4 linked regions of the Neurospora crassa OR74A genome follow. The protein of the gene in region 4 interacts with the protein of the main gene of each other region in a biochemical or structural test. Links are inferred from orthologs where the notes say so. Each region holds a gene or a part of one and is shown on either strand. Other genes may lie near its edges.

Evidence for each region.
Region 1: of the proteins of uvs-2 (region 4) and pcn, one has a biochemical effect on the other in vitro, tested with the Saccharomyces cerevisiae proteins (11 studies listed by BioGRID, with this or other methods). The link is inferred for Neurospora crassa OR74A from reciprocal best matches to the Saccharomyces cerevisiae genes RAD18 and POL30.
Region 2: the proteins of uvs-2 (region 4) and ubi form a complex in vitro, tested with the Saccharomyces cerevisiae proteins (2 studies listed by BioGRID). The link is inferred for Neurospora crassa OR74A from reciprocal best matches to the Saccharomyces cerevisiae genes RAD18 and UBI4.
Region 3: the proteins of uvs-2 (region 4) and mus-8 form a complex in vitro, tested with the Saccharomyces cerevisiae proteins (12 studies listed by BioGRID, with this or other methods). The link is inferred for Neurospora crassa OR74A from reciprocal best matches to the Saccharomyces cerevisiae genes RAD18 and RAD6.

What each region holds. Positions count from the first base shown.
Region 1 is NC_026501.1:9,445,383-9,452,540, reverse strand, and holds pcn (proliferating cell nuclear antigen), read right to left. Parts: upstream 4,147-7,158; 5' UTR 3,911-4,146; intron 3,790-3,910; 5' UTR 3,788-3,789; coding exon 3,746-3,787; intron 3,650-3,745; coding exon 2,930-3,649; intron 2,857-2,929; coding exon 2,839-2,856; 3' UTR 2,484-2,838; downstream 1-2,483. Other genes in the region: NCU10351 (pyridoxine kinase), read right to left, coding at 1-510, 587-1,003, 1,168-1,178, 1,243-1,299; NCU09240 (hypothetical protein), read right to left, coding at 4,848-5,548, 5,610-6,061, 6,116-6,939. UniProt on the Saccharomyces cerevisiae protein: This protein is an auxiliary protein of DNA polymerase delta and is involved in the control of eukaryotic DNA replication by increasing the polymerase's processibility during elongation of the leading strand. Involved in DNA repair.
Region 2 is NC_026506.1:3,141,716-3,149,687, reverse strand, and holds ubi (ubiquitin), read right to left. Parts: upstream 4,645-7,972; 5' UTR 4,370-4,644; intron 4,302-4,369; 5' UTR 3,645-4,301; coding exon 3,623-3,644; intron 3,553-3,622; coding exon 2,657-3,552; 3' UTR 2,105-2,656; downstream 1-2,104. Other genes in the region: NCU11215 (RING-10 protein), read right to left, coding at 1-570, 635-1,810; NCU05996 (C6 finger domain-containing protein), read right to left, coding at 6,894-6,994, 7,061-7,972. UniProt on the Saccharomyces cerevisiae protein: Ubiquitin exists either covalently attached to another protein, or free (unanchored).
Region 3 is NC_026504.1:1,991,527-1,998,824, forward strand, and holds mus-8 (mus-8), read left to right. Parts: upstream 1-3,881; 5' UTR 3,882-4,204; coding exon 4,205-4,246; intron 4,247-4,337; coding exon 4,338-4,402; intron 4,403-4,485; coding exon 4,486-4,710; intron 4,711-4,783; coding exon 4,784-4,907; 3' UTR 4,908-5,596; downstream 5,597-7,298. Other genes in the region: NCU16773 (hypothetical protein), read right to left, coding at 1-513; NCU09732 (acetyl-CoA acetyltransferase), read right to left, coding at 1,258-2,400, 2,462-2,611. UniProt on the Saccharomyces cerevisiae protein: E2 ubiquitin-conjugating enzyme that accepts ubiquitin from the ubiquitin-activating enzyme E1 and transfers it to a E3 ubiquitin-protein ligase.
Region 4 is NC_026504.1:5,738,065-5,745,624, reverse strand, and holds uvs-2 (postreplication repair E3 ubiquitin-protein ligase rad-18), read right to left. Parts: upstream 3,642-7,560; 5' UTR 3,466-3,641; coding exon 2,919-3,465; intron 2,850-2,918; coding exon 1,891-2,849; 3' UTR 1,832-1,890; downstream 1-1,831. Other genes in the region: NCU05208 (hypothetical protein), read right to left, coding at 1-23; NCU05209 (hypothetical protein), read left to right, coding at 548-743, 808-1,676; NCU05211 (hypothetical protein), read left to right, coding at 4,451-4,629, 4,682-4,772, 4,863-7,560. UniProt on the Saccharomyces cerevisiae protein: E3 RING-finger protein, member of the UBC2/RAD6 epistasis group. Associates to the E2 ubiquitin conjugating enzyme UBC2/RAD6 to form the UBC2-RAD18 ubiquitin ligase complex involved in postreplicative repair (PRR) of damaged DNA.

The sequences.
Region 1 (7,158 bases), on a different chromosome or scaffold from region 4:
CCCTCCGCCGTCTTCGTCAACACCTCATGCATACTCGCCAACACCTTCTCCGCCGCCTTGGCAAGCGGCAAGTCCAGCGCGTCCACTGAGTCATCTGACAACCACGATTCCCGTTCTGTCAAGTCTCCTTCAGTGTTATACACCGCTTCTCGCATGCGCACAAGCATCAAAGCGGAAAACATATCGCCCGTTCCGGAGAAGTAGCAGTCGATGGCGGGGAAGCTAATCTGAAACGCGCGCGGTTGGCGGGCAGAAGTCATTGTTGAGCCCACTACGCTGAGGGTCTTGGTGCGGGGCGGTTGCGATTGGCCTTGGCCTTCTTCTTGGGGTGTTGGTGTGGGCGCCGAAGAGCCGGGTACGGAGTTGGGCATGGTGGAGGAGACGGTAGTAGCAGCGTCGGGAAGGGAGACGGAAGTGATGATGATGTGCGGGATGGCGTAGCGCTCGTGCAGGACGGAGATGGCGCGGGTTAAGGAGGGCATGTCGACTATTTTGACTTCTGATAGGAGTCTGTTATCTGTTAGATTAATAACCCAACAACAAGAAGAGAGGGAAGGGGAAAGGGGAAGAAAAGAAAGGTACGCACTCGGCCTCGAATTGGTTCGGGAGTATCAGGTCTGCGTACTGCACCAGCCCTTTATATACCGGCACCACATCCTGCGCGACGTACAGACTGCCGTTATCGCCCATCACGGGGTCCAGCACCCAAAAGAAAGATCCAGGCTTCCCGCGCGCTTGAGCCTTTTCCTTAAGTTCTTTCGCTATCTCCCCCACGGCTTCCAGCGCTGGAGCACCGGGGACGTATCCGGACAGCATCATATCAAAGTCATCGAGGTAGGACTGTTTGAGACCGCGGTAGAGGTCGGTGATTTCGGAAGCGGACACGCGCGTGCCGGTGAATTGGCGGTAGCCCGTATGGTTGCTGAACTGCACCGTGTTGAGGGCGGCGACGTCGCAGCCAAGGGATTGCATGGAGAAGACGGCGATTTTGTTGCCTACGTAGCTGAGGGAAGACACATTGATGTTAGCCAATGCCTTTCTCTTCTTCTTCTTTTTATTCTTTTCCCTTTCGTCTCGTCTCGTCTCGTCTTGTCTGGTTGGGGCTCGGCTGTTCTAGTCGTCATCGGGGGAGGCCGGCGCAAAGCTTGTAGGTAAATCGGAACTTACCCAGAGACAACCTGAACACTCCCAGTCAGCAATTGATTTAACCTGGTATTAATTGAAAAGGAGAAGTAGACTTACATGGCTGGCGACCGCCAACACGCGGGTGTCGGGGACTGGAGGCTCTCCGTCGCTCATGGTGACCTTGGTAGAGTACTTTGTATGCGATTCGGCTTTTGGTTGTTGTAGAGGAAAGATCGAGCTCGAGACTTGTTGTAGAGACCTCCTTCGTTCGAATTGGTTATGTTCGGTAGATGTCCTACGACGTAGAGTGGCGGCGCAAAGGATCTCGATCGTTGGTAGAGAGAGGTACGTAAGCCGAGTAAGCCGAGCTGGCGATTCAACGAACGGTCTGTCAATTCGGTGATATAAATCGTCTCTGTAAAAAATAGTCGGCCGCTTGAAATCTCGACGATATGTTGAGAACTGGTGCCAAAGTTAAACGATGTAGAGAATGTTTGTTGTTGTCAAAAGGAACTAGGTCTGTCTCGAACTCGCAGAAGAAGTCCGAGGAAGGACTGCCAGTGGATGATCACCGGGTCAAGAAAAGATGGAGGAAAGATTCCGGAAAAAGAACTAAGCAAGCAACACTGTGACACACCAAGTGAGTCTGACTCTAGACCTAGTCAGTCAGTCAGCGGTGAAAGAAGAAGACCGTATATAGCCGAAAGATTCGATCAATTGGAAATAGTATCATCAATCAAATAAACTGCGATATCGCCCTCTCGTGCCACCCATTTGCCCACATCTTGATTCGAGTCCTCGAATGGTCCAGAAATTCGCCGCTAACGGTCATGGCACAGGGCCGGCCAGTCAATGACTCTTTTTTTTTTCCCCAGGAACCACCCATGCCCCGCCAAAAAGTTTCCTGCAGGGCGGGTTAGGGGCAACTTGAATGCGGAGTCCATTCAGCTGCTGGGCGCGCCCCGGGCCCTGGGCTGTTGTAGGCGGGAGGGGACGTCACGCAGGTGGTGGGTAGGTAAGTTACATACATTGAATGAACAATGTGGGGAAGCTGGTGAACACCAGGAACTTCATCGGATGAAAAAAAAAAAAAAAAAAAAAAAAAAAAAAAAAAAAAAAAAAAAAAAAAAAAAAAACAGTCGGGTGGAAGATTTCTGGAAAACACGCCGACTGACGGGAAGTGGTGATGTCAGTACTGGTGTACTTGTGATTGAACCCACTTCTGAGATACCTACTTTCAACGCCAAGCTGAACTCCCGAGAAGCGATGATTACCATAGTGATACAGGGAGGACAGTTTGCCGATATCAATGTTAGAAACCATCAGACAAAAAAAAAAAAAAAAAAAAAAAAAAAAAAGGAAACGACAACAGCATCGGGTTCCTTGGTGAAGGTGTGTTGTTGGAGGCCATCGCAATAATCATTGACACCTCGTCGTCTCCCCTAAACATTCATCTTCGCAGCAGAAAGAACAAAACGCCCTCTAAAACATTTGTGTGTAGTGTACTAGTGCCAGACTCTTTCAAAAACACAGATTTCTTTTTCTTCATATCCCTTTTCTTCTTCTCATCACTGCATCACCCCTTATCTTCTACATGACTTGCAATTCTCCTCCTCCCCATGATTTTATAGCAACTCGAGGTATACATGAAGGCATAGTTTCGTGGTGTTCGTAACAAAGATGTGGTTCGGTTGTTGGAGGTAAATGGGGCGTTTACTCCTCGTCGCCAATCTGTGAATCAGAACCAGTTAGCATCACGCCTGACAGAAAACAACCACCCAGAAAATGACAAACAAAGACATACCTTGGGCGCAAGATAGAACCTCAAGTAGCTGCTAGCCGAAATGTTGTACTCGACCAAAAGGGGCACCTCGTTGGAGAGGCAGATCTTGACCGTGCTCGACAGCGCGCTCGCCTTGCAAAAGTTGACCAGGTACTTGAGCGAGAACGTGAGGGAAACCGGCTCGCTCAACTCAATCTCGATATTCTCGCTGGGCTTATCAACGTTGGTGTGCTGGCGGAGGGTAATGCTGCCGTTGCCAATGTCGCCCTGGCAGCTAAACTTGACGCCGTCCTTGCTCGCCTCAATGTTGACGCTCTCGCTCATGGCCATGAGGTCGGTGGTGATGCGCTTAAACTCAGAAGACGGCATGCTGATGGTGGCCGCGTACTCGGTATCCGGAATGCCCAGGTGCTCCTGGTCAATGTCCATGAGCTTGAGGTCGTACTCGGAGATACGGTCGTTTTCGGAAGATTCGAAGACGAGGTTGAGCACGTCGGGCGCGTCCTCGGCCTTGAGCGTCAGGATGTCCTCGTTCTGGGCGGCGCGGAGCACCTTGGTCAGCGACGTCAGGTTGACGCCGAGCGCAATGTTGCGGTCGCACCGGAAGGGCGAGAAGGTCTCCGTCTTGAGCATCATGGACACGAGCGCGACGTGCGAGTTGTCCATGGCTTGCAGGGCGATGCCCGAGTCGTTGCAGTCGAAGTTGCAGTCCTGCACGAGGTCCTTGATGGCGTCGACGACCTGGACATCATCGTCATCATCATGACAGAGTTAGTGGGGGTCTTCTAGCTGGGAAAGGAAACAGACAGCACTTGACAGGAAGAGGACATGACATACCTTCTTCAGGATCGACGCCTGCTCCAACCGTGCTTCAAGCATTTCTGTTGTTGTGGTAGTCCTCCAGTCAGCAACCCATCACTCCAGTTCTCCAGCTTTTCTTCCTAGTGCCGGGCCAGCGAGCAAGCGAGCAGGCAGCTTCACGCTCAGACAGAGACGACATACTGATGGATGTGAATTACCGAACTCGACGGGGGAAAAAAAGACAAAGAGGGAAGAAAATATGCGCGCGCTGGGTATCACTTTCGGGAGAGAGAGGCGCTCGTGGTTTGACGAAGAAAGAAGAGAGAAGAAAAGATTTGGATTTGGGAAGAGTTATGGTTTTGTTCAAAAAGCTGCAACAGGCAGGCAATGGACGATAAAAAGAGAGGAACCACCAATACCACAGGTGGTGCCGGGACACCCACTTCGCGACTTGACGCGCCTGCTAATGGCAGCTAAACGCGCTGAGCCGGGGTTAGGCTTAATTGATTTACCGCTTCAGGCTAGCTCCCGGTGCACGGTCCCGTTCTCCAGCGCTGTTAGTCCGCTTTCAGGCGCAATCTTCGCGTTTTCAGTGGGAGCTGTCGCCCTGAATCCCCTCTTTCTGTTTGGATCGTGTCTCGACGGCAATGTCGAACCAAAGGTATGCTGCTCACTTCAAGTTCCGATGATATGACTTCAACTATTCGACTCCCTCATTTCTGCGCGAACTCTGTTCTACCTCCATTCTCCAATATATTTTGATTATTACATTATTTCACCTATCTTACACCCTCCCCCAACTCAAAAAAGAATTTGTTACAGAATGCCCGCCCAAGATCGTCTGTATAAACTGTGTAAACGCCGTTAAATTCTGTGTCCCACATTGCTCGCTTGCCTGCCCCAGCTTTCAAATGTTCCCATGGTCTGTATGTCCGTCAAAACGCCATTCTACCCAAAGTTGTTGTTGTTGTTGCTGTTGTTGCTTTTCAAGAAAACTGGCAAGCTGACCTTCTCGTCGTTGTTGTTCGCCCCTCTCTTTTGTCTGCGCGCAATGCCTTGATGCCATGTAAGATTATAGTGGTCAAAGAAAAGAAACCCGAAAGAAAGACAGCGCGAATGCCGCAGAGTTTGTCTGTCGTCATAAAGAAATCCTCGTCGGCGCCGCACTCCTGCCGTTTCCCCCGCCTGGTCCCATGGTTGTATGTCTCTTCGGCCTCAGATTAATCACCATCTCCAACTCCTTCAACATGCCCCTACTCGCTTCCGCCTTCTCTCTCTGCATTGCCCTCATCTCTCTCTCCTCTTTCATTTTCACCAATCTCTCTTCCCTGGTCAGCATACTCCTGGGCCGAGCCGATAGCGCAACCGCCTCAAACACATCCGGCTCGTTGGGACTTGGCGAGGAGTTTCGTGTGGGAGACGTCTCCCCGGTGAGCGCTTTCAGCGCATCCTCCGCTCCGCCGCCGGTTTCGTTCTCTTCGCCGACAGTGGTCAACCCGCTTAGAGAGGTAGCAGGCGAGTACAGCATGCTCATAGACGAAATACGTTTCTCGTTGCGGTCGATTCCCGATGCTAGGGCAGCCTTGCCATCCTCCCAGGCTTGCTGCAGCATCTTGAGGTCTTGGCCAATGGACTCGTATTGCGACAGGAGGTCGAAACCAACTTCAGAGATGTCGTCGGCTTCGTTGAGTGCTTTCTCGGATTCTTCACGCAATAGTGCCAGCTTGGCTTGGAGACCGCGGATGCCCGTCGATAGAGAGTCGAGCTTGCGGAATTGCGTTCGGCGTTTCTCGCGGTTGGGCGAAAGAGGGAACTTGGTTTCGGGGATAGCGGGGAAGCCTGAGTGGTTTTGTTAGCTGTTGTGTGTTTGTAGTGTGCAAGAATACGGGATGAAACTCACTCTCTTCATCGCTCAAGATGAGACGAAGCCTCTCGTAGCAATCACCTGTCAGACTGCTCAGCTGGCTGAGACACTGAGCCGCCGTCGACCACCGCACAAAGTCGCTGTTATCTCCCGTAGCCTCAAACGCAAGCAAAGCGCAGAGAAGCAGCTTGCGGATGGTATGGAACCGAGCAGCGGCAATTTTGAGCACCCGTAACGACTCCGCCTCCTCCGTCGCGACCTCCGGAAACCCTTGCATCGCATCGGAAACGTCAAAGTCGGTAATGTCGTAAACGTCGTAGTACTTTTCCAGATCCAACTGTTCCGAGAGTCCCTTCACCGCTGTCGTCACTTGGATGTAACTCTTGATCATATCGGCAAACCGCTGCTTGAGAGCCTTGCGCAGGCGTCCGCATCGTCTCGTTTGGCTTCGGTCTTCGATTCTGCTGATAGGCGGTAGTGGTGCGCTCCTGGTTATTGTTAGCCGCAGTTAACCCCAATATCCTCCGGAAGACCATACTCACAGCCTATACCCCCTCGACACCAACTCAACCTCCTGAACAAGCGACAGCGCCGCACTCGTAGCACTATCCCAATCCTGACTCTTCGCCACAAAAGTAGCAACCTCTGCCAGCGCCTTGTTCCGCACATATCTCAGCCACTGCTTCCGGATATAAAAGTGCGCCACCAATCCCACCGCAACGGCAACCACGACGGCAACCAGCACCCCCTTTTTGGTCAGACGAGCATATCCTCCCAAACACAACCACCTTATCCCCAACGCCACCACCAACGCTCCCGCAGCCGTCGCAACCAGCCCCGTCGAGTTCGGTAGTACGACATCGTTATTTTGCTCTTTCGAACTATCGGCATCCTGATTTCGGTAAAAGTGATTAAGTCCAGCAACCGAGTGCCCACTCAACAACTGCGAAGCGACGATCGTATATCGGAACTGCTCGATGAATTTCTGGTTGTCGGCGCGGTCTATCCTCGCTGTTACGGCTTTCTTTTCACCACGAACAAACGTCATTAGTTCAACACACATGGCCCCTATGATTTGAGCGTAAAAGATCCTTACAGAATAGGAGTCATGTAGCGAGCCGAGCGAGCTGTATCGCTTCATGCGGTGTGGGATCTCGAGTTGTATTGGCTCAGGGGCGTTCTTTCGGAACCGCTTGCGGACCATGGGGCGGCCTACGGGAGCGAAGTTGGGAGAAGAGGGGGGTGAGATGCTGTGTTCGGAGAGGCGGTCATCGTGGGCATCGTGGAACTGGCCATTGTGGTCGGACTCGGAGGCTGGCGGTGTTGGCCAGTCATTGTTGCGTGTTTCTTCGCCTTGATCTGTCATGGCAAGTAAGTGATGCTGTGCTTTAGAGATGGACAGTGAGTAGGTAAGCGAACCCTTGAGATAATTGGCAAGAGGCTCGCAATCCTGAATTACGGTCTCCATGGATGCCACTACGACCGGACAACGACTCGGACAATGATGGGACTCGGACAAGAGAACGGAAGAGGAGCATCCAACAAAGAAACGGGAGGTCGATATGTGGTGCTAGCTCTCCATCTG
Region 2 (7,972 bases), on a different chromosome or scaffold from region 4:
CCACATGTCGCCCGCATAGTCCCAGACGTGCTGTGTTTCCATTTCCAGGCTGAAGCTGTGGGCAGTTTCCTTCCAGTGCTGCTTGGCGTGACCGCCCTTGTACCGGCCGCACCCAACGTTGCCGCAGATCAGGCAGATCCAGAGGTCCGAAGGTTCGTCGCAGACGCTGCAGAGGTTAGATACAGGTCCCGAGCCGAAGGGTCGCGAGTACGGGTTTTCCTGGTTGCTTTCCTCTGCAGTAGGCTTGGGATTGGTTGCGCGGCAGATAGGGCAGCCGAAGCCTTTCCAGGTTTGGAGACAAGTGCAGTGAAAGACGTGTTGGCAGAGGATGGTCATGAGACCGGCTGTATCGTCCATACGCTCAAGACAGACAGTGCAGGTTGGTAGCTCGATCAGGTTGGGGGTAGGGGGAGGGAAGGGTCGCAGGTTGAGGGTGTTGCTGGGTGAGGGAAGGGTGTCGACTGGGTTGCCATTTCCGCCCGCGTTGCTCGTGATCGTGCTGTAACCTTTCTGGCCGCCAGGTGATTCCACGGTGATGGATTGGATGTAGGCGACATGGCAAAACTCGGTCTATGGTTTCGAGAAAGTTGCCATTAGCAACGCCAGGAAATCATGTAGTCCAGGAGTCACTCACCTCGATACTGTCAAATGGCCTCCCATTAAACTGAACCCTAAAATCCCTCGCCCTTTGCGGATCCCTAAACTTCATCAAAACCATGTACCGATTCAGCTTGCTCGTCATGATCATCCTGTAGTGGCTCACGTCATCGCGCCACTTTTCTCCTATGAAGCCCAGGAAGTCACTCGGACTCATGTACATGGGAACGGCAGTGATGCAAAGAATAGTGCCGTCGTCACCGCTGCTAGCAGTTCCGTTGCTACCGCTGGCGCTGCCTGCACCCACCCCGGCGCGAAGAGCACTGCTCTCATCGGCCTCGCGGTACAGATGGACGATGCCCCACCCAACCTCCGTGTTTTTGGTTTCGAGGGGTATGTATCGTCCCTTGGTGGCCTGGCCCATGCCACCGAGGTTCGGGCCTAGAGAAGCCGCTGGCGTACCGTGGGACGCACGTTCTTGGTTGCCATTTTTCTCTTGTTGAGATTGCTGTCCTTGATCCTTCAGTGACTCAGCCATTGCTGACTTGTTGTTCTTGGCTGCTACCGGTTTTCCAGTTCCAGCAGTGGCGCTGTGGGTGTCTTTCCCTTTGCCTTTCTTCTGAGTATTGTCCTCCGCCGCGGTTTGTGCGTGTCGCTGCAGATGCCCGTCCCGTGGCAGATCAAGGCTCTCGATGCTGATCCTTCCAAAGCGCCAGTCCTTAGCTGCCGTCCGTGGCCCTAGCCCAGACGTGAATCTTGGCGGAGGAGAAGTCGCGCGCGATTGCTTGCCTGAAAGCCTGACGATGTTCCTGTTGTCTTCGGGGTTCTGGCAATCTGGTCTGGATGCCCCGCAATCGATAACTCCGCCGGTTTCCGTCCCTTCCTCCGCCTCGGGGTCTGAGCTGTCGTTGAGAAGTCCCAAATGCGATTCTGGCAAGGCTCGAGGAATTTTCTCCGAATGGCCCTTCTTCTCTTGCTCTTCGATTTGCCCTTCTCCTTGGATGATATCTCGATTCTGTTTCCTCCTGGACGATGGCCTTGAAGACAAAGATTTGAGCTGCCAGGTACGAGGGTGGGCGGGGAGCTCGTCAAATATGGACGAGTCCTTGGTAGGTAACCAGATATCGGGGTGGAATGCTGCGGCGGGCGCGCTATGCGTCGGATCTGGCGAGGGGTAGAGCTCAAACTTCAAATGATAGCGGTAGACAGGCATGGCATATTCATGGTATGGTCGCAAAGAAATGATTCCTTGTTGTGATGGTCGAGAAACAACAATGCTTTGATGAAAAATCTGATGAAAGTGTAATATTGAGAGTATTGCGTTGACTGTAAGAGTGGAAGAGCAAGAGAAGGACAGAGAAGGATCAAGAAGATGAAGAGTCGATTAAGACACCTTGGACGCGGGCCTTACGTCAATCAAGTCGCCGATGCCTATCTCTGCAGGTTCATGTGTGCCCAAACTCCATGCAGTGATGGTTCTTGCCCTGGTGATTAGAGAGGATGAGAGGTCCTTCCGGATGTCCTCTTCACATTCAACCTTCCACAACTACGAACTTGACGTTGGACGTTGGACGTTGGATCGTCCTTCACAGGGGGGGAGGGAGGGCTCCACGGCCGGACTAGCGCGAACTGAACTCGGCGGTCGGTACGTATCTTTCACGTATGATGCATCTTGTCCACCAAAAAAGGGCGCCACTTTCGGCCACGCAACGGTCACCTCGCACGGTGTGTACCAACCCACTGCACCACCATCTTGACTTACACGTCCGACTCCATCCCCAATTGACCAGATGACAGGTTGACGGGAATAACAAAAGCTCACGAATTGAGACACAAGCAAATCACCAAGAGACATCATGTTTGAGACCGTAAATATAGTCTTTATTATGGCATCGCTGTATGTATGAAGCGTGTGCCATTAGATTCGGCTAGATATGCCCTGTTTCATGGTTGTCATCATTTCCCAACCCATGGATGCAATAAGTAACCCAATAAACGCTGAACGCCCAAATGAACCCTTGCTCGTCATCAAGAATCAGAAACAAAGACGACAATCCGCTTACTGGCCGCCACGGAGGCGCAGCACCAAGTGAAGAGTGCTCTCCTTCTGAATGTTGTAATCAGAGAGGGTCCGGCCATCCTCCAACTGCTTACCAGCAAAGATCAGACGCTGCTGGTCAGGCGGGATACCCTCCTTGTCCTGGATCTTTTGCTTCACGTTATCAATCGTATCCGAAGACTCGACTTCCAGCGTAATCGTCTTGCCCGTCAAGGTCTTGACGAAAATCTGCATACCACCACGAAGACGGAGCACCAAGTGCAGGGTGCTCTCCTTCTGAATGTTGTAGTCGGAGAGGGTGCGACCATCCTCGAGCTGCTTTCCAGCGAAAATGAGACGCTGCTGATCAGGTGGGATACCCTCCTTGTCCTGGATCTTTTGCTTTACGTTGTCGATGGTGTCGGAAGACTCAACCTCGAGAGTAATCGTCTTGCCGGTAAGCGTCTTAACGAAAATCTGCATACCACCGCGTAGACGAAGAACGAGATGAAGGGTAGACTCCTTCTGAATGTTGTAGTCGCTCAAAGTGCGGCCGTCTTCAAGCTGCTTGCCGGCGAAAATGAGACGCTGCTGATCGGGAGGAATGCCCTCCTTGTCTTGGATCTTTTGCTTGACGTTGTCGATAGTGTCGGACGATTCCACCTCAAGGGTGATGGTCTTGCCGGTAAGAGTCTTGACGAAGATTTGCATACCACCGCGCAGGCGGAGGACAAGGTGGAGGGTAGACTCCTTCTGGATGTTGTAGTCGGAAAGGGTGCGGCCATCCTCCAACTGCTTGCCGGCAAAAATCAAGCGCTGCTGGTCGGGGGGAATGCCCTCCTTGTCCTGAATCTTTTGCTTGACATTGTCAATGGTATCCGACGACTCGACCTCGAGGGTGATGGTCTTGCCGGTCACTGCGAAGAGATAGTTAGCATCGGTCGATCGATGGTAAAGTGATGATGCGGTGAGCGTGCGATAACTTACAAGTCTTGACGAAAATCTGCATGATGGGGGTTGTGCAGTGGACGAATGGACTGTTGATGGATGAAGCGAAATGACTAGAATCGAGTGGCGGGAATGATATGTGCGTGGATGAACACTCCTGCGATGATGGCGATGGAGAGAGATGGTGAAAGCGGAAGAAATGGAATCGGGGATGCAGATGGGCGGGGAGGATTAAATAAGTAGGTTCAGGTGCTGGCTGCGGCGGAAGTGGCAGGAATCAGGATGGCGAACTTGGAGGGGCCAGGCTTCCACTGCCTGGAAAGGGAAGCGAAGCGGGGGGGCTGAGTGAAGGGGAAGAGGTGACGGGACTGGAGTGGAAGCGGAAAGGTGCCAGGTCCCAAGTCGATCGTCACTGGTCCGTTTGCAACGCCTGCCACGGTGTGAGTGGTGTGTCACTCACCTTCACTGACAGGCCACGCACAAGCCACTTGGCGGTTGGGAGTGACAGAGAAGTGGAGGGAAGGCGCGAGAAGAAGCCAGTCAGACGACAGTTTCCCCCTTGACTGTTGGCTGTTGCCCGTTGGCAGGAGTGGTTGGACATCCCCCCCAACAGTGACCGCGGCTGATTGATCGCACTGTCAACGCCTTCTGCAGTGGCGGGCACTCACCCAGCCGTTTGCCCGTCAATGCGTCAGTCACCTCAGCCGGGCTGTTTGCCCTGCTTCAGTTAGGTTCTCTCTGGATGAATAAGCCAAAGAATGATCTGCATGTGGCTGGACGACGGACCTTCGAGTTTCAGTTGTTTACAAATCCGAGAGTGCCATCTCGACTTCTCGTTACTTTGCCAGCATCTTGACAAGCTTCTCTCCATGTTATTATAATTGTTCCCTCTATCAGGTTGTTGATGGCCTCTTGCTCGATGCTTCACACAGCAGCAGTCCAGCTGGCATCATGGAATACCGACGTGCACCTTGCTGGTTCCCCGCATTTGATAAGCGAACCCCCCAACGAAGTGAGCGGTCAATGACGTGGTCCGATCGAGGGCACCGAGAGGCAAACAGGGAAGAGTGAACGGTTGGATCGCAATTTTCCAGCAATGGAGGAAATGACCAGAAGACATGAAGATGAGTATATAAAATCAAAGAGACCTGTGACTTTGTCTTTAACCAACACCACAAAGAGTGTCACCAAAGGGGTCGAGGTGTTGGTCGTCGAACGAAAGAACAACCGGACGGGAGGTGCATCCCGGCCAGGCATCGTTTCAGCTCCAGACAGTAAAGGGGCGAGTCAGCTGGCACTGTAAACCACAGAATGCTCAGCTGGTGTCACGGACTCACGGTTGGTTCTTCCACCGACCTTTGCAAAGGCTGCTGAGGTAAGCGCTCCGTCTGGTGCGACGATGAGCTTCGTTAGTTCTCCGTGTTCATGGCGGGACACCGACAACTGAACCGGACGGGAACGGGGAGCTATTACCAGGTATTCTCTTTCGCTTTTCTATCGGCTTTCCGACCGACCGTGGCTGTTGACGCCGGTAAGGATTCAAGACCGGTGACAGATGGGAGACCTCCTGACTGCAGTGCCTGGCCATAAGGGTTCCCACCAGCCCCCGACCGATGATGTCGTGACTCCGTTCCTCCCGTTATCGCCCAGCATTATCGTGGCCTCTTTCTTGGCTCCACCGCCCCGCACTTTAGGAGGGTCGCTCCGCTATTGACGGTCTCTAGCCTCCGTTCACGCATGATCCATAGTATCGCGAGTTACCATCATCGATCAGAATGCTGGGTCCTTTACGCACGAGTGTAATATGTACAGTAGAGGGAGGTAAGCTGTGCAGCACAACATCACAAACTCCTGGAGCCAAGTGACGAGTTCCGCCCTGCCCGCTACTAGGCCTGCCAACCACCTCGGGTGAGACCGGGGCCGGCATCACCTCCTGCACGGGATCCCGGGGACTCCCGCGCAGTCACGCCTACAACTCCCGTCTTCGCAAATGCGGGAATCGTCCTTACGGTCCGTTCAATACACCCATTCGGCTCGGGTTGTGACATCCCATGATCAAATGACAACCCTGAACGTCATCAGATTGGTGTACATGATACTTTTTATTGTCAATGCGTGTAGTGAACCAAGTTCAATGCAGGTGCCTGGTTGCCGTTCGCAATCCTTCTCACTCATTGATCTTGAGTACTTATGTACTCGTCTGGCCTAGGCTCTATCGTAAGAGTTGGAATGCATTTTTCCACTCATCCAGAACCAACGAGCCAACGGCTTTCTTTGCGTGGTAATGACTTGCGTCTTTGAAATGAAACAAGTACACACAACCCAAGGCAACTCTACAAGACTCGAGAACTCGTTTGCTCTGTGGCCCTTCCCATAGTCGGTTCCATGACAACCTGTGAAGAACCAGGTAATGTGTACTTGTGGATGAAAGTTGGCCTTAAACAAACAACCACTCTCTTCGTTTTTCTCTGATGAGGGAACATTGCCTGCTGTAGTACACTCAACAACATCACACCAAAACAAGCACTCGAACAGCCTAATACTCATTAACAATAACCAATAAATATTTCTCAAAAAGAGGATTTCTCGCCTAGGTCGCGGTTTGCCCGCGCGCGCTTATGCAAGAAAGTCCACCTATCAATCCATATCTATATGTAGGTAAACCAAAAGAAAAAGACCAAATCAGATAGACAAAAAAAAACGCCAAGATACCCAATGCAAACCCATTTTCCTCCTCTTCCTCCCCTTTGAGTTGTGCTTTTCTTCGATCCTTTCAAACAACCCTTTCCACTCGCTTACCCTCCTTCATCCCATGCCCTTCCTTTTCCCGTGAGCGACTTCTTCTCTCCCAACTGAACTATCAAAAGTGCCAGACATGCAGATCGTGCTGGTTTTAACTTTTTTGCGATGTATGCGTAGTAGTGTATGGTGTGTTTTGTGTAGATTCGTTGGGGTTTCGTCAAATGTGTATTCATCAAATATTGATCCGTCATGATGGGACGTCAGTCATTTCGTATCGTGTTGTTCGCGGTGGTGACCAGCCACCAAGTGAGTGTGCGCGGCCAAAAAAAATGCCACAAAAGATAACAGAAAAAGGGAGAAGATGGTTGACTATAGAAAATAGTAGCCATAATGAAATAAAGATGAGAACGCCGTCGCTCAATGGCCCCATGAGATAAGGATAAAGAGGAAAACAGGAAACCGGAACAGACCAGCTCTTGCGAGCTTTGCTGTAAAGTGCTGTAACCGTAACGTGGATAACGGGTATCGCAACCAAAAGAGGCAGAGTGCAGCAAGCAAGAAAACAACCTTAGTTGGCCCGAATGACCAGCTTCGACAGGAACTTGTTTGATAGTGAGTCAAAGTCATAGCGGTCGAACTTGGTTTCTTGACGGGTCCTAAGGTAGGATTCTGTTATCGCGGGGTTAGTATGTAGGGTCACACCATGCTGACATTAAATGAGGGGTCATCACTCACCATGCTTGAGGACATGCTGTCTAACTTCGGTCATGGCCTCGCAGACGGCAACGTTGTTATTAAGCAGCTGACCATGCCTGCGAGTATCCCACTCCGTGAAGGCGGGCAGCTTCTGAGAGATGGCGTGGAAGAGGCCAACAATGACACCAACAGGAGTAGACTCCATATCGTCACAGAACTTGTTGACAGCGATAGGGTCAGGCACACGGTAATGGCAGTCGAACTGGATCTCCTCCCAGACAGCCAAGAGGATGGCAGCCAGCATGAAGATAGTAGGCCAGTTCTTGAGACGCTCTCCGCTGTAGACCGAAGAGTAGAGAGCAGAGAGCTCCTCGAGGACCTCCTTCTGGAGCTCACGCCACATATCGGCCATGGCGCACTTGATCTGGAAATTGATCATGACAGGGGCGACAACCTTGCCAAAGTACTTGGAATCCTCGTCATCGATCTGGCCCTCCATGGGCTGCTCCGTCGGCGGCTGCTCAACCATGGTAATGTGAAGAGTGAGGTTGTAAGCCACAACAAGCTTGAGCGCCTTGCGAATGACAGGCAGGCGCTCCTTGACGTAGAACCTATGAGCGGTCTTGAAGAGCTCGGTGATGAAGGGAGTACCCTCGAAATGGTCGTCAATGAACTGCTCGAAGCCCTCATCGACATGCTTGTCGAGGTACTCGGAGAGAGCCTCCACAGAGACACCCTCATGACCAACGTCGAGGCGCTCAGTGCGGATCTCAAAATCGATAGGCTCCTGGTCAGTCAAGGTCGACTCGACCCAGTCGACTTGGAAGCAGCTCTCGTCGGCAACAAACACCTCGCGAACCATGACAGGGAGGCAGAAGCCGTAGCCGTGGGTGATCCACATGAGGGTCTCCTTCTGGGCGAAACCCTTGACGTTGAAGACGGACATGCCGC
Region 3 (7,298 bases), about 3.7 Mb from region 4:
CTCGACGATCGATTTCTTTTCGCCAGCTTCATCGCCAGTCATGTCACCCTGGATCTGGGCCATCAGATGAGGCTCCTTTGTGATGCTCATCACCAACTTGGAAAGCGCCTCTGAGAGAGACATGCTGGTTTGTAGAAGCATGATGCCATACGTTGGATTAGCAAGTGCATTTGCACATGATATGAGCAGGTCGCTGAGCCGGCCATAAAGTTTGACGATGTCGTTGAAGTCTACATCGCGCCAGTACTTCAAATACTCCTCCATGAACGAATTGAAGCCAGGCCACGGCGAGCCTCGTCCCTCTGGAACGTCATCTTCTTCTGGCAAATGCTTCTCAACAAGCTTCTCGATATTGTCAGAATTAGGGGGACAAGTTGACCTTAGTTGTTGCCCAAGCTCATAATAATGTGCGGCAACATTCGGCTCGACGAGCAGCCAGTTGCGGAGCTCGTCACCATTTTGAGTTTGTACGAACCCGCGGATGCTGGTCAGAAATTCCGCAATGAGGCTCATAGCTGTGGTATTTTTGTAGATGACGCGCTCGTGACCGGTCAGGTTGTCTTTCAACCCAGCTTCCTCCTCCAAGGTCGTGGCCCGGCCGCGCCAGGGCACACACCAAGAGCGAAAGTCAGTGTGATCTTGTAGAAGGATGAATGGCGGGGTGCGTCGTAATGTATCGTCGTAACCTAATATTTTGATACTTGAGTCGCGGAAAAGCTAGAGCTGGAGTAACAATGCCGAATGATGCAATAAATAACTTGTTGTAGTTCTTGTTCGATGTTTGATTTGCTGAAGACAAAGGTGCAGACCGTTTCGGTGAAGCTGCGCGATCTCAAAGGTGAAGTTAAGGTGAGTGTGTTTGCACTGTGCTGCATTGATTTCAATGCGGCGCGTTCGTCTTCTGACCGGACGCTTAAACCCTAACCCGAACGCTATAACTGTGAATACCCTGGGATCTTTGTTGCACGAGTTGAATTTGGTCACGTTTACTTATATGCTCAGTTGTGGATTTACAGCATCACCCAGATCATCAAGCTCACAACATGGCACTGCAGTTTCCTTACTTCTTCAAATACATTCTGTCGCTTTGACCCAACAAGATGCAGCTGTAACTATGTGCAGACTGGCCCTGCTTCTGGCAGCGCATCATACCATTTGTACATGAAAGAAAGCCCAACCAACTCCAAAGCTTTGCAAATCTTCATCCTTATACAAAAATTCATCAAATACCCATCCGCAACTCCACAATGTTCCCGGTTATACCGACTCGATCCTCTGGACGACCATCGCAGTGGCCGCACCTCCACCATTGCAAATAGCAGCTACACCGTACTGGCCAGGCTGGAGTTGATGAAGCAAGGTAACGAGAATGCGGGATCCAGAGCTACCCAAGGGGTGGCCAAGGGCAATGGCGCCACCAAGAGGGTTCACCACAGCGCCTTCGAGACCCAGAATCTTCTCGTTGGCCTTGATGACCGCGGCGAAGGCCTCGTTAAACTCCCAAATGGCAACCTGGTCCTTGCTAATGCCGGCACGCTTAAGGGCAAGCTCAACCGCTTTAGAGGGCGCAATAGGGAAGTCGATGGGATCCATAGCGGCATCAGCTGAACTGACGATACGGGCAAGGACCCTTGAGCCCTTGCCGAACTCTTGCGCGAGCGACTTATTGCCGAGAACCAAAGCACTGGCGCCATCGTTGAGGGTGGAGGCGTTGGCGGCCGTCACGGTACCGGTGCCATCGCGGACGAAGGCAGGCTTGAGGGTGGCAACTTTGTCCAGCTTGATGTCGTTGTAGCCTTCATCCACCTCGATGATCTTGTCACCCTTCTTGCCCGGAACGGTGACCGGGACAACTTCCTCAGCAAACTTCCCGGAAGCCCAAGCCTCCTGGGCGCGCTTGTACGACTGGATGGCATACTCGTCCTGCTGTTCACGAGAGATTTGGAACTTCTTGGCAGTGTTCTCGGCGCAGTTGCCCATGTGGAACTCGTTGTAGACGTCGGTCAGCCCATCCTTGATAATGCCATCCTCCATCTTGATGTGACCGAAGGGGGGCATGCCGCTAGCGCGTGGAACGTAGTACGGCGTCCTTGTCATGTTCTCCATACCACCAGCGACCTGGGCCTCCGCTAGGCCAAGCTGGATGTTTTGCGCCGCGAACACAACAGCTTTGAGACCGGAAGCGCACACCTTGTTGATGGTAATGGCCTCTACGTTGGGGGAAAGGCCAGCAAAGATAGCGGCCTGGCGTGCAGGTGCCTGGCCAACAGACCCCTGGAGGACGTTTCCCATGTAGACATCGGTGATCTTCTCAACGGGGATACCCGACCTCTTGACGGCCTCCTTGATGGCAACGGCACCGAGCTTGGGAGCAGGAACGGTGGTGTAAGAGCCATTGAACTGGCAGACGTTAGCACAAGCGCTGTGTTGTGGAAATGGCTGATTTTACGGAGCGCTTTACCTTGGCCGTTGGTGTCCTCACACCACTGAGAATGTAGGCATCCTGAATCTGCTGGCGGAGAGCAGACTGGGTGGAAAAAAGACGAGCGCAAGCGACACGGGAAGTGCGCGAAGCCGAGCCAGCGGCTGTCCTGGCGTGGCTAAGAACCATTCTGATGTCGGAAGCTGGTGACGATGAGTTACAGGACGTAGGGGCGGTACTGCACAGCGCAGATGTCGGAGGGGAATCTGGCGAGAAGGAAGAAAGGAAGATGGCCGAACGGGGAATGAACAACAGCACAACAGGAGAGGCAACACAAAAACAGGAGCAGGAAATAATTGGGAGTAGGGACAGAATCACAGGGAAGACTTTCTTCTATTGTTTAAAAATGATTAATAAAACTACCAGTTGGGGAGGCGATAGCTAGGTGGTCTCTTCCTCTCCTTCCCGCTTTCTTTTCCTCGGAACTTGTCAGATGCCATGATGGCACCGGTCGGCTTGTGACGGTACATGTGTGGAGAGGATTCACACCAAAGCGATGCTTCACCCCGCCAATTGAGCGCCAAACAGTGGCCGCCACCGTGGTTCCTCCGCGGGGACCCCAACGGGCGCAAGGGACACAGAAGCTTGGTATCCGGGGTTTCCCGTGGAGCCTGCCGCTGACCGACAGGGGAAGCTCCTCATCCACAACAACTGAAGAATGCCCTGCTTGGGTCATGAGCCCATGAGTGCCGTACCCACGGGCGGATGGAGAAACATCAGATGGAGCCAGAGTTGAAGCCGTAGCGGAGGGGAAACGGTCAACGGATCGATTCGGGGGTGGATGCTCTCCAAGCAGTTCATTCACTCTTTCCGCAGCCTCCTGTTGCCCAGCGCCGGCATCATACCTAGCTGTACCGGATACTGCCCGCATAAAATCAGGGATCAAAAGGCCAGGGCACTGCACGCTCAAGAGTCGTTTCGCATCACTTAACAATCTATCCCAGTCGCGGTTGTCCCTGCAATTGCCATCCCGCGCGCGTCTTTGGATGTTGGGCAGAAGCGAACCACTTTACACGCGGGAACAAAAGCCGAGCTTCCCAACGCGATATGTTTGAGATGTTGCGTTGGTTCCAAGCAACGATCCTATTGCGGCGTTGAAGTGTTTTCGGGCAGCTGCCGGGGGATGCCACAGGAGACAGCTTGATCAAATCACTGATTCAACCCGAACAATTGGCTGTCATGCTACAATTTCTGATGTTTTCTTGGGATTCATTTGTCAGTTCGATTAGTTAGATGTTTGGCTGGACAACCATTCGGCGGTGGCGTGAGAGAAGGTGTGTGACTGTGTGATCCCATTCCATCAGCTGGCAGTCACCTCGCGCACGAGCCACCAGTCGCTTCATACCCAAGTGTAATTGGCCGAGAATCAGAAAAGTGCTATTAACAATCCGGCGGCAATTGTCAACCGGGGCAGTCACTGTTCATTGCCCCTGCCCTCGGCGCGCGTTCTCCTAGCTTCTTTGTGACGCCCCCCTCCGGGCAATCAGTTGGGTATGATAAGATAGCGGTCGTTAATGCGCGTTCACTTGTTGGCTCTGCTGGTTTCCGTCATTCATCTCCGCCCCTTCAAATCAGTTCGTTTGATTGTCTCTTCGCTATTCCAACCACGAAACCCATCTCGACTTCGAACAAAGTATCGCATCGATCCTACGTACTCCATCAACCTTGTAGCTTTCTCTCCATACGCCTGGGCCGACTTCATCATCCATCACCAAAGCCAAAATGTCAACCGCTGCCCGCCGCCGGCTCATGCGAGACTTCAAGGTGCGAGACATCATGAGCCACCCCGTTGGGTTCACACCGCTTGATGACTTGGCCGCCATGAGCACAATATACTCACCATGTTCCTCGACAGCGCATGCAAACCGATCCTCCCGCTGGTGTTTCCGCCTCTCCCGTACCCGATAATGTTATGACATGGTAAGGAGAACGATCTTTGCTGCGGTGTCGTTATGGGCGGTCGACCCCCGGCATGGCAATGACTGACATGAGTCTCCATATAGGAACGCCGTGATCATCGGACCCGCCGATACGCCCTTCGAAGATGGCACCTTCCGCCTGGTGATGCACTTTGAGGAGCAGTATCCCAATAAGCCTCCTTCGGTCAAGTTCATCAGCGAGATGTTCCACCCCAATGTTTACGCCACTGGCGAACTTTGTCTCGATATCCTTCAGAACCGCTGGAGTCCTACGTACGACGTCGCGGCTGTTCTTACCAGTATTCAGAGGTACGACTGCATAATATCTTGTTGACGTTCATTTTGCGTTGTGTTATTATGCTGACAAAACTGTCTTGACTAGTTTGCTCAATGACCCGAACACAGGATCGCCTGCAAACGTCGAAGCCTCCAATCTATACAAGGACAACCGCAAAGAATACCACAAGAGGGTCCGGGAAACTGTTGAGAAGAGCTGGGAGGATTGAATAGTGACGACATTTATCACCACGGGGCCCTCAATGGCAAAAAGCCAATGATTGATCTGGGTGCTGCAAGTCGGTGTTGATATTGCTCACTGGGCTGTTCGATACAGATCTCTTGGCTATATCAACAGTCAGTTGTCGACCGACGACGAGTTGCGAGATGATCCACATTCGAGGATACCCGGCGGTTTGGCCTTTTAGGGCGTGAGGGTGGAACGGATGTCGTGATATTACATTGCATTTGGGAGGCGTCGTTCTTTCGGGGCGTTTTTGTTGTATTTCAAATATCCGCATCTCTCGCCTATTGATGGCTGAGAGTCAGCCTGCTTGTCTGCAATGGAGAGAGCGGGAGTGCTTGGTTTTTCTCACTCTTTAGGGCGATTGTCGGGTTTGGAGTTTAGGCGCTCGTATCATACCAACACAAGCACATCTGGCGAGGGCAGTCCCTGGATACCTCAACTCACCCCAAAAAGCCCTAGATAGCGTTCTTTTCTTTTGTCTTAGAGATGAAGAGATGGCATAGTGTCTTTCATTGCAAAAAGCTCACCATGTTATGTCGGCCGGCTTAGATGTACGAGTTTCCAGAGAGTCTTGCATTTCTCAGCTTTCCTCTGTTTCTTTGACGAAAGTGTACATGACCCCGCTTGGTGCCTTACATCCACATGATTTATATCACCTATACCTAAGGCTGAGAGTCAAGTCTAGCGTGCACATTTCGAACTGCGGCGTTGTTTAATACACGCTCACGTTAACAGGCATACCTTGGATGCAAGGGTCCCTGTGAGAGTGAAAGACAGGCTGACTACCTCTATCGTAAATGCCCAGAAAACGCAGGGTTAAAGGGCTGTCAGATGCTTTTGGCGGCCGTCAGAGAGCATTAGTGTACGTGGCTTCCGAACACTTTTAACCCTGCAATCTGGAAACAAGGTTCTCAAGTCTGTATGGTACGTCCTGGTCCGACTTACCCAGCTCTACATGGCTCTTTTGGAAGACTTCTCATAACTTGCATAGGTACGATTTTATGTTGTAGGACTGACGCTTTGCGTATGATCTGCATGAGGGGTGAGGTTGTTTATATATTGTGGGTAGCTGAACTTGGCTAGGCTCCTCTACCTACAGCGAGCGGTAGCCTCTTGAAAGCTCGAATTGACAACGTAGAGAGGTATCTTGAAAATTGATTGCAAGTTACCCAAAAGAGCAAAGAAATGGCCATAGGCAACTCGAACAGCAGGAAAGGGGGCGGGCATCTCCAAGAATACTGGCTTGTATACTTGTGCCACTTGAGTCTGCTAGAAACGTGCGATCAAATTACCTCAGGGAATGGGTTTCAGATTGGGGTTTTCCATGTACACTAGAGGTAGGTACCCTCGGGCGGAGCCTCCCCCAATCCTGTTTGAAGCTTTGAAATATTTCTACAATTGATGAAAATATCTCCTCCATGGCACCCGAGAGTATTGGCCGAACGGGCATTCAATCTTCAGGCAGGTACTTACCTTACACTCGGAGGTAGAGGCAGAGGTAGAGGTAGGTAAGTAAAGGTACTGGTCTCGCAGTCCGCCTCGCAGCACCAGCCGCCCCGAGTGCCGTCCCGCTCCGGTTGTTAGGTAAAGGGACAGGGGCAGCAGGCACAACCGACGGGAGTCGTCCACTGGCGACGACTGGCAGCGGTTCGCTTTCAGGACCCCTCCCGCCCTTGGCTGCGCACCGTTCAGACTGCGTCTCAGGCTGCGACTCTGCACTGACCGACAAGACCCCACTATCTTCATCGCGTTTCGACATTTGTTCGGTTTCTTCTAGACCCTTAAATTGCCTTGGGTACCGACCACACGTGTGATGAGTACCCCTTCCTGCCCTTCCATCTCGACGAGAACATACGGCGGCGGCGACAGTAGCTGCGGATACCCCTTTCAGCCCCTTTTTGCACATTCTGCACACGTTCGCCTTTTCGCCTAGCCCTCAAGGTTTGCTTTGCTTTGCTCTGCATAGGTAGCTTTAGGTTTGCTGTCTTCTTCCATCGCTGCGGCCCAAAGGGGTTCAGTTACCTAACGAAACGCCAACGTGCCTCGGCGGGCGAGTAGTGTGTCACATTGAAGCCCACCTTCACCTTTTGCCCTTCTTCACACCGCACCCGCAGCCGCGAACCGCACCGCAACTGCACCACACCACAACCACCGCTCACGACGGACCGCGGAGGAGGGAAACGACGACGAGAACACGCGCCTAACCGGAACTCGTCACCTTTTGTGATATCCGGATCCAACTCGGAGAGACACCTGGACCCCGACTGACCGAGACCCTGCTTCTCTATCTCTCTGCTGCAGGCGGCCGGGCTCCTTGTCCATCTCCCCTCTCCCCCCCCCTCTCTCCCCCTCACTCCACCACCCATCCTCCCCG
Region 4 (7,560 bases):
CTGGTCGATGACGACGCCGCCATTTCTGCGAAAGGTGGCTAGAGCACAGTAAGTTGAGATTGGGTGTGAATTGATTTTTCGGATCAAAGTGCGAAAAATAAAACCCGAATAAAGGGAAGCCCTTGAATGGAGCTGCGGCGTCTGCGAAAGGAGGCTACAGTAAGTTGACATTGAGGTGTAATGGATGGTTGGCTGTGAATTTTTCGGATCCAAGTGCGAAAAATCAAAGCCGAATAAAAGGGAAGCCCGTGAATCCACATCTCGTGTAAGTCGCCCGCCCCACAGCCCACGACGCAGTTTCGTCTGAGGGGGCTGTGAGCATCCAAATGGAATGCCAGGGTACCGTCTGTTCAGATCTTGATCAGCACTGAAAGTAATGCGATTCACCTGTCTCTCGACGGTATATAACCCCCCTCGAGGAATGACTTGCCCTGTATTTGTTGTGTTGGTCATGTGTTCCGTTATCAAGCAAAGGGCTAGCAGCAGCTTTTGATATCCCTTTCCGTCTACTCCCAAACCTGGCATCTCTACTACCCTCCCCAACTCAATGACGCTTAACGATGGCCCGCCCTTCGGCCCTGTGGTCAACGGGACCATGGTGGTGGTCTTTTGGGAATACCGACCCAGCAACGTTGCCGCGCACCTCTTTCTCGCCTTGTTCGCCTTGGCCACCCTCGCGCACCTCGTCTACTTTGTCTGGCTCCGGGCGTGGGGATGCATTCCCCTCATCCTCGGTGGCATCTGTAAGCCTTCTCCTGTCTCTTCCACCTCGCAATCTCCCTGACCATCCAACCCCCAAACAACCAGGCCTCGTCTTCGGCTACCTCGAACGCAGTTACGCCCACTCCGACCCCACAAAGCTCGACCCCTGGCTGCTGCAGAACATGCTCCTCCTCGTCGCCCCTCCCCTCCTCGCCGCCTCCCTATACATGTCCTACGGCCGCATCTCCACGGCGCTCCTCGAGGGCACCTCCAAACCCAACCACGGGCGCCGTAACAACCGCGGCTGCTGCGCCCGATGCTGTTACTCCTGGTACCGCCCCATCATCATCTATTTCCCCGACCCCCCGTCACTAACCGCCCATTGCCAACCAACCAACAGCTTCTGCACCTGCTCCCCGACGCGGCTCTACGTCCTCGCCGACGTGGCCGCAATCTTCACCCAGCTCATCGGCACCGTCCTCCCCGCAAGCGGCACCGAGTCGGCGCAACGCCTGAGCAAGATCATTGTCCTAATCGGCCTGTGCGTCCAGCTCCTCGCGCTGGGTATCTTCCTCTTCACCTGCGGCCGCCTACACGTGCGCCTGCACCGCAACCCGACCAGGTCACGGGCAATGCTGATGGACCCTGGGGTGAGATGGCTGTGGTATTTTGGTGTGATGGAGGTGGCGGGGGCTATGTTGGTTGTCAGGAGTGTGGTGCGCGGGGCCGAGTATTTGGGGGGAACGGACGGGGTGGTGGCAAGTCATGAGTGGTTTGTCTATGTGTTTGATGGGGTGCCGATGGGGGTGGTGATGGCGGGGTTTTTGGTCTTGTATCCGGAGAGGGTGGTGAGGGAGGTGAAGCGGCAGGAGGGAATTTTGAAGGGGGCGGGCATGGGAGAGGAGTTGAGAGGCGGGGTGAAGGGGGAGTCGTATCCTGGGGGCGATGTTTACGTTGGGGGTAGGTGTCACTAGGTTCCTGTGGTAAGTAGTCTCTATCACTTTTACCCCCCGTCGACATCCTTCAGCGGACCCGGCCCACAGAAATGTGGGTCTTCTGGGGGTGGGGTGGGTTTTAGTGTAGAGGTTAAGTGGGTCTAGTCCGGATGGACTACAAATGTCATACAGAACACAGGGTAAATTAGTAAAGTAGGAGAAAAGAGTGCCTGTCATAATATATCCATCGGCCTTAACATGTCTCTGGATTTGGCTTCTTCATCCCACTCAGTTGAGCATCCCCAGGTATTGGTGGCTGCTGCTGCTGTGACGTCTCCCACTGCCGTTCCTTGTCTGGAGTCCCGGGAATGACTTGTTCCCTCATGGCGGTATCCTCTGCTATAGCATCCTTTCCAGGAGCTTGCCCGTCGTGTTCTGTATCCGCGTCATCCACCTGCCCCGGTCGTGGTGGACTTGATGGCGGGACAATATCCATCCGTGTTGGCGCTGCACTGCTTTCCCCCTCTCTCGCTTGTAGTGTCGGAAGTTCAGCTGGGCCAACATCCTCACCCCCACCCCCACCCTTGGTATCCGCCTTCTCCCCATTACCATCCAAAGTCTGCCTCTTAATCCCCTGCCGGGCCTGCTTGATCAAATCCCCAAAACTCCCTCCATACCGAGTTGCCCAAGCTTTGCCATCGAACTCCTTGTCCTTGATCTGCGCTCCAGTAGCTTGCGCCCTCGCCATGAGTCCGAGTCCCTGCTGCCCCCCTCCTCCTCCTGCTGCTGTGCCGGGATTCCCTACTGTCCGTTCCCATTCGTCTAGATCGCGAAGTAACTCGGACCGCTTTTTGGGTCGCGAAGAGTCGCAGTTGGCGTTCCAAAGCGTGATCCACTCCTTGTGGCGCTTCTCCAAGAGCTGGCGAGAACCGTGGGTGGAGAGGCCGAGTTCGGAGAGTTTCTTGCGCAGGGCGGTGTCGCGCAGCATGGAGTAGGCTAGGGCGGGGAGGCGTTCGGGTGGTTTTTGGTTGGTTTGAGATGTGAGGCGGGTGTTGAAGGATGGAAAGGTCGATGGCTGTGGTGTTTGAGCGGGGATCGGTCGTCGTTTGGATGCGGCCTGGGGAGAACCGGGACAAGAGGTGTCGAGGTGGCGGTCGACTTGCTGTTCCTTCATGCGGGTGAGGCAGATGGGGCAGGCTACTAGGCCGTCGTCTGGTGGGAGGTCAGTGATGATGATGATGATAGAAGCAACCCACGAGGAGCGGGAGGAGGGAAACGAACCGGGTGGTTGGTCGACGTAATCCGGGTCGGCTGAAGGTGTGGTGTCTTGCTCTTCTTGTAGTATTGCCGCTGTCAACTCGGCGGCTCGGGCTCTTGTTGATCTGGTTGACCTCCTCGGCCTCTTGCTTTCTGGGTCCTCCTCTTTTGGCCCCTCCATTTCGGTCGCCTTTCGTTTTGATGGCGAACTGGGGCCTGCTTGGTCTGGCAGTATCGCCTGAATGGTCGGTGGTGTCCTAGCAAACTCGAGAAGGACTTTGCGGGAGTTCTTGAAGGCTTCTACGGCTTCGCGCAAAGCCCAGTTGCCTCTGAGCTTGGATTCCTGGTCGGTGGCGCGACAGAGCGGGCACTTGCTGTCGACGGACAGACATCTTCGGATGCACAAGGAGCAAAAGGTGTGATTGCAGGATGTGAGCATGGGAGAGTCGTAAAAGTCCTTGCATACGTGACAGCGGAAAGCCTGTTCGACGGGCATCAGGCATGCGAGGGGCGTGCCCAGCCAGTCGGTCGAGTCGGGGACGTTGAAGGCTTCATCGCCAAAGACGTCCATGATAATGTCGGTTGTACTGAAGGGTATCCGAGTACTTTGTTGGTGGTGATGGCTGCCTTCGTTCTACCTGGAAGCCTGGAAGTAGTATTGTAGAAGAGACGGAAGATGTGAGACGCGATGTCTGCAAGTCGGACGAGACTGGTCGCGACTTTGTCGAGGAGGAGAATTCCATTACACTGTATTTACACAAACTGGCCGAGGGTCAGCAAGAATACCGAAGAGTGACCCGGGTATCTAGCACTCGGGATCTTTTCCCTGGGAATTGCTCTTTCAGTTGGTGTTTTTGTTTCAAGTTAAACATGGCTCTCTGAACATCTGCACTGCCATTATTCAACATTTACAGCTCTTTGTGGCCAACCTCTTACTTGCAGACCTTTGATCTCTCCATGACGGTATTGATTGTGCCCACGATACGGTAATGACAGGGCCTGCACGTGAATTGGCGACGGGAAGGCGTGCAGCGGGGGTGTGTTCTGGGGCCTTCAGTTTCCAGGCACAAAAGCGCTGCAACAGTGCAGTGGAAACAGAAGCCCCACCTCTTCGCTCCCCTCAGCCCAGACTATTCCCTTTTGGGCATCAACCAAAACAAAGACTGGAGCGGATTGGGTACTAACAATTGAAACCAAGACAAGGGAATTTGCTCCGGCAACAGGAACTCCATCCCAGGTCAGGTCAGGTCAGGTCTCCGATCCCTCGCTTTTTACTTGGTTTGTTTGACTTTGACTTTCTCTTTGTTGCTTTGACTCGATCGACGCAATCCCGTCATCCCTCCGACAACCACCATTATACCACATCGCCAGCCTCGTCGCCCACCTCCCTCCCTTTCTTTGACCAACTAATCATACCAATGCTTTGAACATCTCACTTGTTGCCATTCCTTTCTTTTCCGATCATTGCTTGGGGGTTTTTTTTTTTTTTAGAGCTTTCCCCACATCCCCAAATCCGGTTTGTTGACTTTTGGCGCCAAAGTAAACAAACAGCAAAAATGGCGATGCGCAAGGCACCACGTCTGCCCGTCGGCTCGGCAGCGTGGGTTGCAGAAGAGCGCGCATCGGCGCTCAAGGTGGCAGAGGAGGAAGTCGAAGAGTTCTCGTATGCGGCGCGCAATGAGATGGACTGGCTGAACGAGCACATGGAGGACATTTTCTTGGGCGAGAACCAAATGTGCGTTGTCTTTGTTTTATTTCCCTCTCTTTGTCTCGCTGACCAGGAACAGGAACATTGCCGAAATCTTCAAAACGCCAGCACGACCACGAGGCAAGACACCGCGGACAATTCGCAAAGGGCCCAATACCGAAGTGAGAGTGGTAAGCATCCAGACAGCGTCCATCATTCTTCTGCGACGGGCGACCAAGAGTGATTGATTGATTGATTGATTTTGTTCTAACCCACAGCAGCCCTTGGCCAGCATCTTCTCAGCGACGCCCAAGGGTGTGACACCTAATCCCTTCGTCCTCGCGCCGCCCGCGAACAACTCGTCATGGACGCCCAAGATCAGGCCCGATACGCCGGAAGCCGACGTCGAAGCTGATGACGAAGCCGATGATGTCCCCAAGAATCCCACGACTCCCTCGACGCGCCGTGCGAGCCCGCGAAAATCAGCTGCCGCAAAGTCGCCAAGCCCAGTCAAGAGCGTTGCCGCGCCATCACGACAACCGAGCCCAGTCAGGCCAAACAACACCACGCCCATGCGACCACCACCCGCAAGTCCAGCAAAGCCAGTTGCCGCTACCCCGTCCAAAGTCAGAAGCCCAATCAAACATCTCAATGGCTCCCCCCTACCAATTCTTTCCAAGTCGCCTACCCCGGTCAAGCCCTCTGATTCTGGATACTATGGCAGTCAACAGCTGGATATTATGGATGTGGACGAGGTCGGAAAGGTTGCCGATGCCAATGCCAATGCCGATGTCGATGTCGATGTCGATATGGGAGAATCAGCACACGAGCCGACCATGGAACTCACTCAGCAGTCGGCGCAGGAGCTACCACAACAACAACCTCCACAAGAGCCCACACAGGAGCAGACAGAGGAATCAATACAGCCGTCAAATGAGCTCAACCAGGAACCGACGCAGGAGGAACCAGAGCAGCAGGAGATAGAGTCACAGGATCTGGGGGTTCAGCCAGCCCCCACCGAGCCGGAGCAGCACGCCAGTCCCGCACCACAGGAGACGGCCGAACTACTACGAACCACAACACCTTCAGAAGAACCTGTTGAGCCTACCGTTCAATACCCTCGACTTCTTTCGCCCGAGCCTGATGTGATTAGGTCTAGCAGCCCAGTCCACATGCTCATTCCGTCGCCCACCAGGTCTATCCATGCGCCCTCCCCCCAAAAGGCTGCCTCGCCTCAGAAGCTCGCATCGCCAGAAAAGCGCCTTTCCCCCGAGAAGAGGGTTTCCCCGGTCAAGGTGGCCTCTCCCCAGAAGGATCCTTCACCAGAGAAGATTCCCTCCCCCGAAAAGACTCCGGAGCTTGAAAAGGAGGAATCACCTGTGGATAGCGCTCCCGTCCTGTCACCAAAAAAGAGATCGCCAGAGACAGAGCCAGTCACTGAACAGCAACCCAAGACTCCGGCGCCCTTTGTACACGCCCAGTCAGAGAAGGATCATGCGGACGACCAGGCGGACGACAAGGTGGACGATGACGCCAACTCGTCCATGGAAGCCTCCAGCCCCATTAGCCCGGTTAAGCGCCTGAGCAGTCTGAACTTTGCATCACTTCCCGCACGCGAGCCGATGACCTCTAAGAAGAGCCTCGGTACTAGGATGTCGAGGACGAGCCACGTCGACGTAACGCGAACCTCCTTCTACCATCGCCAGACGGGAGGAAAGAGTCTTGGCCATACTACCCGACAGGATTTCGATGATGACGACGATGAGATGGACATTGATGATGATCATACCCAGGAACCCAGGACTGCCAAATCATACACGCAGCGATTGCAGGATCAGATCAACATGTTGGGCAAGGGACAGTCAATGGGACCGAGACCATCGAAATCGATAGCCCACCTCTTGCCGACGCAACAACACGCATCCACTTCACAGGCACCGACGACACAGCCCGTTCCGGAGCCCACCAGATCCTCACCCAAGAAGCCACCCGTGGTTACTCCCAGGGCATTTCCCACACCGGGAGCATTCCCGCTGGACGATGATGACGACTGGATTGGACCTCCTAGCAAGGGAGCGGATATGTCTACCCCCATGGTGTGGAACGCGCGCAAAGACACACGGTTAAGTCAGCCAATGGAAGGAATGAACTTATTCGCAAGGGAGGCATCTCCGACCCTTGGAGAATCCTTCATGGAGAACAGGCACGAGTCACCAAGTAAAGCGCCCATCATCCAGGAACCACCTGCTGCGTCTTCCTCAACAACACATGTCAAATCGGCTTCTGTTCCCACGCTACCCAGTTTGCACGAGCCTCCCGTGCCAAAAACCGCCAGCCCCAAGAAAGAGGCATCTGTCTCTACTTCCAACCTCCCCGAAATGCCAGCGCACGAACCTCCTTCGCCCTTCAAGTCCCCCTCCAAGGCATTCCGCGAGAACACGCTGGAGAGGGTCAAGAACAAGTTTTCGTCCCTTATGAAATCATCCAAGGGACTTCTCCCAACCAGTGCACATTCAAATGCCGAAGCAAAACTGACGGGGCTCTTCACGACTCCCTCAACTGCTCGACTGGAAGAACATCCCAGTTTATCCGAAGCTTCCTTCAAGACAGCCGATAATGTCGTCTATCCTGATCTATCTCACCATGCACAGGCCGAAGCCCCCGTAGCCGCCACCCCCATCCGACCCACGAGAAAAACCCGAGCGTCGACCGAGAGGGAACGAAAGGAGGCAGAGGAAAGGGAGAAGGAAAAGAAGAGGGAAGAGAAGGAGGCCAAGCAATATGCCAAGACATATGCCAAGCAGAATGAGAAGCTGGAGAAGATGCGCGAGAAGGAAGCGGAAAAGGCCCGTCTCTTCCAACAAGAACAAGAGAGACAGGCGGAGATGGAGAGACGCGCTGCTGAACAGAGGGAGCAGGAACAACAACACAAGCTTACCAAGGCACGACCGCAGTCCAAGCAGTTGTTCGAGACACCAG